Coturnix japonica: one gene and its partner. The protein of the gene in region 2 binds, or shares a complex with, the protein of the main gene of each other region. Links are inferred from orthologs where the notes say so. Each region holds a gene or a part of one and is shown on either strand. Other genes may lie near its edges. The genes, in order: MAP1LC3C and PLEKHM1.

The links.
Region 1: the proteins of PLEKHM1 (region 2) and MAP1LC3C are in contact, whole or in part, in a crystal structure (PDB 5DPW), measured with the Homo sapiens proteins. The link is inferred for Coturnix japonica from reciprocal best matches to the Homo sapiens genes PLEKHM1 and MAP1LC3C. Residues at the interface, in NP_055613.1 of Homo sapiens: Glu632, Asp633, Glu634, Trp635, Val636, Asn637, Val638, Gln639, Tyr640; in NP_001004343.1 of Homo sapiens: Phe13, Arg16, Lys17, Glu25, Ile29, Phe33, Lys36, Pro38, Asp54, Lys55, Thr56, Lys57, Phe58, Leu59, Val60, Pro61, Glu63, Leu64, Ile72, Arg76, Phe114.

What each region holds. Positions count from the first base shown.
Region 1 is NC_029518.1:32,120,482-32,124,441, reverse strand, and holds MAP1LC3C (microtubule-associated proteins 1A/1B light chain 3C), read right to left. Parts: upstream 2,579-3,960; 5' UTR 2,523-2,578; coding exon 2,465-2,522; intron 2,386-2,464; coding exon 2,330-2,385; intron 2,222-2,329; coding exon 2,115-2,221; intron 1,351-2,114; coding exon 1,143-1,350; 3' UTR 806-1,142; downstream 1-805.
Region 2 is NC_029542.1:1,137,909-1,142,202, forward strand, and holds the start of PLEKHM1 (pleckstrin homology domain-containing family M member 1), read right to left. Parts: upstream 3,055-4,294; 5' UTR 2,973-3,054; intron 1-2,972. Other genes in the region: leucine-rich repeat-containing protein 37A-like, read right to left, coding at 4,110-4,294. UniProt on the Homo sapiens protein: Acts as a multivalent adapter protein that regulates Rab7-dependent and HOPS complex-dependent fusion events in the endolysosomal system and couples autophagic and the endocytic trafficking pathways.

The DNA of each region.
Region 1 (3,960 bases), on a different chromosome or scaffold from region 2:
ACACTACAAAAAGCTCTTTCGCTTAAGGAAGTGATGTATGTATGTGTGCATAATTCAAACACTGTCAGCCCTTCTTTCAGTCCAGCATCTTCTACATGGATCAATTTTATACTGAATAGAACCATTATGATGCAATAGTTTATACATAACAAATAGTCAAATTGTTATATTCATTATCCTAAGCTGAGGCTTCTGAAGGTTAACTGCACGCTGCAACAGATTTTTACATAACCTGGTATTCCGATTATGCACAAACTGAACATTTACAACTTTCTGACACATTCCTGATATATTAGAAAGCTGCACTTCAGCTTGAACCTCCTGTCAAGAGTTTCTTCCAATTCATTTTCAGGAAGCTTGTACAATAAATGTATCAGCATGTCACTACATGATAGTTTTGACATTTTCCAGATACGCTGACATACCTCTGTAAGGTACAGCACAAACACCCACACTTGAGGCAAGGCTCACTGAAGTCCCTCAGCAGAAGAGCTGTGCAGGTGCCTGTAGGTGAAAGGGATGACCAGCTTGCCTACAGACCAGACTAGCAGAATTCAATAGAAAGAGCAGAACACTGACCCCTATTCTAGCACTGATGCAACCCTGCTACTCAGGTACTTCAATGAATGAACTGTTTGTAGGTATGAGCCTACTGCTGCATGAGCAGGCTTGAGTTTTGTTATCTCATTGTGAAATTGAATGAGTGGCTGTGCAAGCAACACTCCACTCCAGAAGCCTGGAGCCAGAATCATTCTAGGACCTTTTCCCAGGAAGTCTCTCCCCAAATTAAAACTGACATTCAACCTAGTACTTAAAAGCTTCTTTATTTTATTCTTAAGCAACACCTTAAAAAGCAGTTACATCACAAGATCGGTATTGCAAAAAGTGGAGGTGCAGTTCCAAAACAACAACAACAAAAAAGAAACCCCACAGTGCCTTCCAAGTATAAAAATATACATCTAAATTATCATCCATGGAAAAGTGTACCACCATCTCTGCCTTGAGCCGGTCCTGCCAGCTTTTGGATCATAACTCCGCAGTACAGAGCTCAAGAGCTCATACTGGAGGGAGCATCTCCGAGTCTCATGTCACATGCATGATTCACAGCACAGTGGCTTAGCTGCAGCATATAGACCCCAGCATTAGGTTTTATGGTGGCATTCCATAGTTTTCCCTAAGGTGAGTGAGCAGCATCCGAACATCTCCTGGGAAGCATATGTCATGTACACGAAGCCATCTTCATCCTTGTAGTCCCTGTACACCTCTGCCATGGTCAAAGACATACTCGCTAAGCTCTTGTTGTTCACCAGCAGGTAGAAAGCTTGTGTAGCAGTCAGAGCCATCCTGCTTCTGAATGAAGAGGGAAAAGGAAACAAAGGACCAAGCATTAGCAAATTTAAGGTTTCAACCTTAGTCTATAAAATACATTAAGCAGAATAGTTGCAGCATTTCTTGTACATAGTTTATGCACGAAGACGTTGCTTAGTTTAATATTTCCATCAGAAAGTTAACTGTACTCAGAAACAGGAAGCTTGCTCCAGGGAAAGGCTTAAGCTGCAGGACTGTAGCTGCTACCAAGCCTGAGCCTGGGGCTGCCCATTCCCAAGAAGTGCTGAGTGTAGCTACAATAGGGAATTTCAGCACAGCCTGTTAAACTTAAGGCCTGCCCACCTTCAGAGGAGTCTCACTCAGAGACTTTACACATGAAGACTGGCTGACAAAAGTATCTTCTACATAAGTTAATAACTGGAAACATGGCTTCCACGCACTTTTTGTCACTGACAAAAAATTGCCTTACAATTCCCCAGCACCCCTGCACAGAACGCCCCCCTTTAGGAGACCTCTTTGCCAGTGTATTTGTAAAGAACACCCGGGATGGAGCTGCCACAGGTTTGGGCAACCTGTAAGTGCAACAGGAGCAGCAGGGCAGCAGCAGTTGGATGCAGAGCACAGCCCAGAACCAGGCAGAACGGGAGCAGAGCAGCAGCCTCGCGCCGCCTTTATCCGCCAGTGAGGGGGAAGAGGGACCTCGGGAGCCCCGAGCTCTTCCCTATCAGCTCCCGCTGGGGGAGGCCGCCCCAGGCCCCTCTCACGCGGTAGTGCGCGGCCCTTACCTGATGATGGTGATGAACTGCGTCATGGTCAGCTCCTCGGGGACGAGAAACTTAGTTTTGTCCAACAGGGGAAGGTATTTCTCCTTCTGGTACCTCTCAACGATTACCTGTTTTTAATTAGAGTCACTTAGAAGCCCCAGCGACGTTCCGTTCCCCTCCTTCCAAAATACTCAAGGCAGAAGCCGGGAGCCCCCGCCCGCGGAGCAGCGAATTACCGGGATCTTTGTGGGGAACTTGGCCCTGATGCCGGCCACCTCCTCCCGCCGGGTGGCTGCGCGGGAGAGAGCACAAGCGTTACGTTGTAACGTAGAGAGAGAGAGCACCGTACCGTCCCATCCCCATAACCATACCCAGACTCTTGCGCAGCTTGAAGGGCCGCACCGGCTGCACCCCGGGACCCGCCTGCATCCCGCCGCCTGAGGCCGCCGCCCCGCGCCGCGCCTCTTATGGGCCGGTCCGGCACCGCCCCGAGGGGCGGCGTGTGGCGGGCGGGCTGCTTCGCATTTGGGAGTTGCCTTGGAAGTATCCATCCCAGCATCCATCCCAGCATCCATCCCAGCGCTGCCCAGCCTTGCTTTTGCTTCACGCACACTTCCATGCCAGACGCCGTTCTGTCAAACTGCCCCTCTGCTGCCATCTGTCACACAGCTACAACGTGTAACGAATATTAGGATTCAACCTCTGCTGCCATACCTCCAATGTCTGCCTCTGACATCGTGGGACAGCATCACATAGTATGAAGCATTACTTTCAGGGCAGCCCTCATAAAATACATAACATGGTTCATACATGAAAGTAATACAACTGTTTTTAGTATTTTATATTGAAACAAAACAAAAGAGAGCAACAGCACCATAATTCTGATGAGATATGTGACCTTGTTTGTGAGAAAGTGGCTTATCAGTGTCTGGTTTGCTGGCAGTGGCTGCAGTTCTTATGAGCTCCGAAGGCATTTGTCACATTGTTGACAAAATGTACTCCTCCTGTGCTTTATCCTTGACAAAAGTTGTTCACAAGTGTACGTACTGCCTGACGGCCATCTCAGGAATAAGGTGTGACTGTGAAGCAAGGGATGTTTCTCCCTGGTAAGGGGGTTTATAAAAGTCTGGTGAAGAGCAAGTCCAGCCTGGGAGTGAGATTATATAGTGTCCTGGTCCCGTGACTTATCCCTGACCATGATGTCCTCTGGGATATGTAGTCTTCTTCTGTGAGCTGAACATTCAGTAAAATTATCCATACTTTACATGATGTTATGATGTGGAATACTGATAGCAAAATTACAAAACCATGACACCATCACAGCACAGCTCACCAAATGGCACAACGAACTGAAGTATGTAGAGAGGACAGGGTGTGTTGCTCTGAGGAGCTGCTGAGCCTCAGACTTGGGAGGGGAGCTGTGGCCAGTTTTGGTGCTGTCAACACGGCCCCTAAGGGACCCATCCCCAAGGTAAGCCTCCCCAGCTGTGCAGGAGAGCTCCAGGGCTCCTATCAGAGATGCATGTGGAACACCTGGACTTGGTTCCACACAACCACCAGCACCTTGTTTCCAGAGGGATGTTAGCCTTCACAGGCAGCTGTTTGACAGAAAACTGAGCACCTGACAAGAGAGGGAGGGAGCTGAAGAACGGAACTTCAAGTGAAATTCTTGGCTGTGGCTCTAATTCCTACTGCAGCTAAAAGTGAGCACAGTTAGCAGATGCCCTGCGTTACATCATCTGGAGGCAGAGAGCAAGGGAGGTCATCTGTGTGTCTGCATAGCACCTGTGCTTACACTAGCATCGAATTATCCAGATTCAGACTTGCATGTGGAATGTGATCTTTCTTCTCTCCTTTCCCTTGGAAG
Region 2 (4,294 bases):
AGAATGAAGCAAGCTTGCTAAAGCCTTTCCAAATCAGTAAGCTGAAGGAAAAGGGGAGCAGAATGGGGATTTGTGAGGCACCGCCACGGTGACTGGAGAATTGCATGTCATGAGTTTGATCAAGGGAAAGGTCCCTCCCATCTGCAGCAGCTGGAGCAGTCTGCGACTATTCCTTTGGAAACTCCGTGCTTGCTCGTTTCTAAGAAGAGTCTTTGCTGACCCTCTTCTCAGCCAACCGTGTACTTGTGATAGATCTGTCCGCATTCTTTGGCATCTGTCCCGCATTCCTCTGCAATAGCTGACACTTGTCCCTGCTAGCGACAGCTCTCCAGCTCTGTTGGAGCTGCTGCTGCCTCCAGGCTCCTAGAGAAAGCCTTATGCCATCAGCGCTGCCCCTCCACACACCCAGCCAGCAACGGCATTTGCACAATGGTCTTCACACACGCTTCGTCGAGGGACCCTGGTCTTGGGCTGGTGAGTGATGTTGGATCCATGTATGACCAGGTGATCCTTGCTCGGTAACTTTTCCAATCATTAGCACGACCTTCCGCTGGCCAGTTCTGTAAAACTAATGGCACAACCACCTGAAAAGTCTCAGAAGCGTCCCCCACAACACTCGTCACTGCGGTATTAAGAAAGGGCTTTTGCCTTCAGCTGCACATGGCCACGAACACATTCATCTGTAATGTAGGGGCCCTTCCCCAGAGTACGCAGCGAGGCTGAGGCCTGGACACGAACACCCTGACGTCATACGCCACCATCAGCCGCTTCTGCCCCCAGGGCACTCTCCTCACTTGCCTTCGCCTGTGCCCGCATGCGCCCCCAGTGATTTCTTCAGGGACTATTCAGTCCAGCAACCCAACCAATGGAGCGCACACATTGTAGCGTACAGCTCATCTGATTATTTCTGCTGACTGCGATCGCAAACATTGCAAGAAATTGTAAAGATACACAACTGCCTCTACATAACATTCCATGTAGCTGTAGTGGTTGTAATCGATGGCTCCATCTTCTGCTTCCCTAGACCCTTAACCTTGGTATTGGTTTCCCTTGTTGTTTTTATTCTCTTTTAGGAGATGCGCAAAGCGATTCCACAAGCCTGTTAATGCCAGTTGGAAAATTTAGAATGCCCCAACCATTTTAGAAGCTTCATAATTTCTTTTAAGAGCAGGAAGGCTGTTTCTATTTGAGAAAGGACAACAGACAAACCCTTCGGCTTTATCTACCAATAAAAGGACTTTAGCGTTCGTGTGTTTCTTTTCCCCTTTTCCTATATTCCAATCTTACCCTAGGTGCCGGAGAAAGTCGTAGAGTGTGTGCCCAGCCCATGAGGAGTGCGTGCTGTAGATTCCTTGGTTACCAGTCAAGCTCCCCATCCTCCATTTCCTATCCTGCAGCAGATGGAGACACTGGTGCGTGCCCTTATTGGAGGCCGAGAGGGACAAAATTCCATGCCTCCATTTCGAGCGAGGCTCCCCTTTAACTTTCCAGGCGAAGGGACACGTGTGTTATAATTCACTGCCCCACCTTATCACCAGTGTTTATTCTGTGGACCTCGCCTTTTGATAAAATGCCTGATCCCCAGGAGGCCTTGAGGCGATCTGTGGGCCTCGAGAAGAGAAGGAGAATGTTCGAGAGTCTCATATAGATGTTTATTTATCTAGGACTCCAGCCCAGCCAAGAAGCTCCTGGTGGCGTAAAAGCCGGAATCAATGGAAGTTTTTCCATTGCTGACTCGCACAAAGTTTACTGGGGGATTCAGACCATTTCGCAGATAGTCTGATATAGCGCGTGAGAGTAGATTCTGGCCGACATTACAATTCGGTCCCCCTGGCGGATTGTAACCAGTGCGTATCTTTTGTGTTGTTTGTCGTGTGTTAAATTCTGCTCAACTCAGTTTAACCTCTGTGACGCTTCTAATAAGTGATATAAGCTATATCCTTACTCTTGCACCGCCATATGTGACCCCCCCTCCATTAACTGGCAGGCGAACTGTTAACACCGCTTTCGTTGTAATACCTCCTCCGTAAATGCGAAGGGGCTCGTCACTGACTCGTCAGCTCTTTGAAGCCCCCCGGCCCCCACCACCGTAGAGGTGTAATTTCATGAACCAGGCCCTTCAGCTAGAGATAAACCGGCTCGCCAGTTTCAACAGCAAGTATGCCTTTATATGAATGTAAAATTATAAGGAAAGAAAAAAAACACCACTGGACATTCCTGTCGCATATGGCTACTCGTGAAAAAACAGGAACACCATGTAGGCAAACCGGCTATGGGATCTCTGCACTCCCGAAAGGACTCGGAGGTACTCCGAAACCGACGCCCGATGTGTATCGCAGCACCACAAGGCCATATTGGATGATGGGCACTGGGATGGGATAATATGGGATGATCGGATATGATGGGATATGGGATGGGATGGAGGAGAGCTCAGCCTGCCCCACAGATCCCACAACACCCCACAGCTGTGGGGCAGCAGCTCCGATCCCAGCCCCTTCCAGCAGCTGATGCAAAAGGTGTCAAAGTGCTGCAGGAGCGTCACCTCCCCTGATTATGCCGATCCTCCCTGTTAATGGCCCAGCAGTCCGACCTGTTATGGCCGAGTCCGCCCTTATGGCTAGTCCTGCCCTGTTATGGGACGAGTTCTCCCTTATGGGCACATACCTACACCCAACACCAGGACCAAGTGTAACCATGTCAACTCTGGTTATAGGGAATCCAAGGAAGACCCAGAAGCAGCCCCCATAGAAACCAGACTAGAATGCCTCCAGGAGCCTATAGCAGCCCCATAGTGACTAATGGGTCCATAGGGCCTATAGCAGCCCCACTGCGGCCCAGCACCCACCGGACCCCATCAGCAAACCCAACATATCCCCAGCCCACATCGCCCCCAATTTCCCAACCCATGCACCATCCCATCCACATCGCCCAATCCACATTACCCATTACCCATCCCCACCACCCCCTCTCACCGCCTCCACGACCCGGCCGGGAAACCCGGAAGTAGCGGCTGTAAGCCCCGCCTCCTCGTGACGTCATCACGCAAAGGGGGCGATGCTAAGAGAGGCCACTCCCAACATAGAGTGGGCCGGGAACTTGAGAGAGAATTGGCGCGCTCTGGGCGGGAAAAGGGCACGTGGGTGAGAGATGGGTGTAAATAGAGCTGAGTGTGTATGGACACATGGACACCATAGAGAGCACCATATAGACCACCCCTAAGATAGAATACCCTATAGAATACCCTATAGAACACCCATAGAAATCCCATATAAGTGAGAACACACATAGCCACACCCCAACTATTAAACCACCCCATAGACCACCCCATAGAACACCCTATAGCACACCCCATAGAACAGAACACCCTATAGACCACCCCATAGCACACCCCATAGACTCACCCCATAGAATCACCCCATAGAATCACCCCATAGAATCACCCCATAGAATCAATCACCCCATAGCAACCCACTTAATCACCCATAGACGCGACCCATAGAAACACCGCTTAGACACCCATAGAGACCCACCCAACATAAACAGAACACCTTATAGAGCACCCCATAGAGCACCCCATAGAACACCCTACAGATCACCCTATAGCACACCCCATAGAACACCCTATAGAAAACCCTATAGAACACCCTATAGCACACCCTATTGCACACCCTATAGACCACCCCAAAGACCACCCCATAGCACACCCCATAGACCACCCCATAGAACACCCTATAGCACACCCTATAGAGCACCCCATAGAACACCCCATAGAACACCCCATAGAACACCCCATAGCACACCCAATTAGTAGCTACACCCTATAGAACACCCTATAGAACACACACCCTATATTATTATTATAGCACACCCCATAGCACACCCCATAGCACACCCTATAGAACACCCCATAGCACACCCTATAGCACACCCTATAGACCCCCTTACAGATCCCCCCATATCACACACACCCCATAGAACACCAATATCCTTTAATATCAAACCCAGCGGCTCCATCCACCCCATAACTCAGCACATCCCCCCCCACTGATCCCCATGGCCCCTCCCTCCATTCCGGGGCTCTATGGGGTGGATCCATCGGGGCTGTGGGATCACGGAGCCCCTTTGCTGCCTTTGGGGTCGGCTGTGGCCGCCGTCCCGTCCCGTTTTGGCCCGGCCCCATTGAGCAGCTCTTCATCCTCCTCCTCCTCGTCCCCCGGTTCCCGGTACAGCTGCTGGATCGAATCCTTCTGCAGCTCATTCAGGGGCAGGTAAAGATCCCGCAGCCACTGGGGAT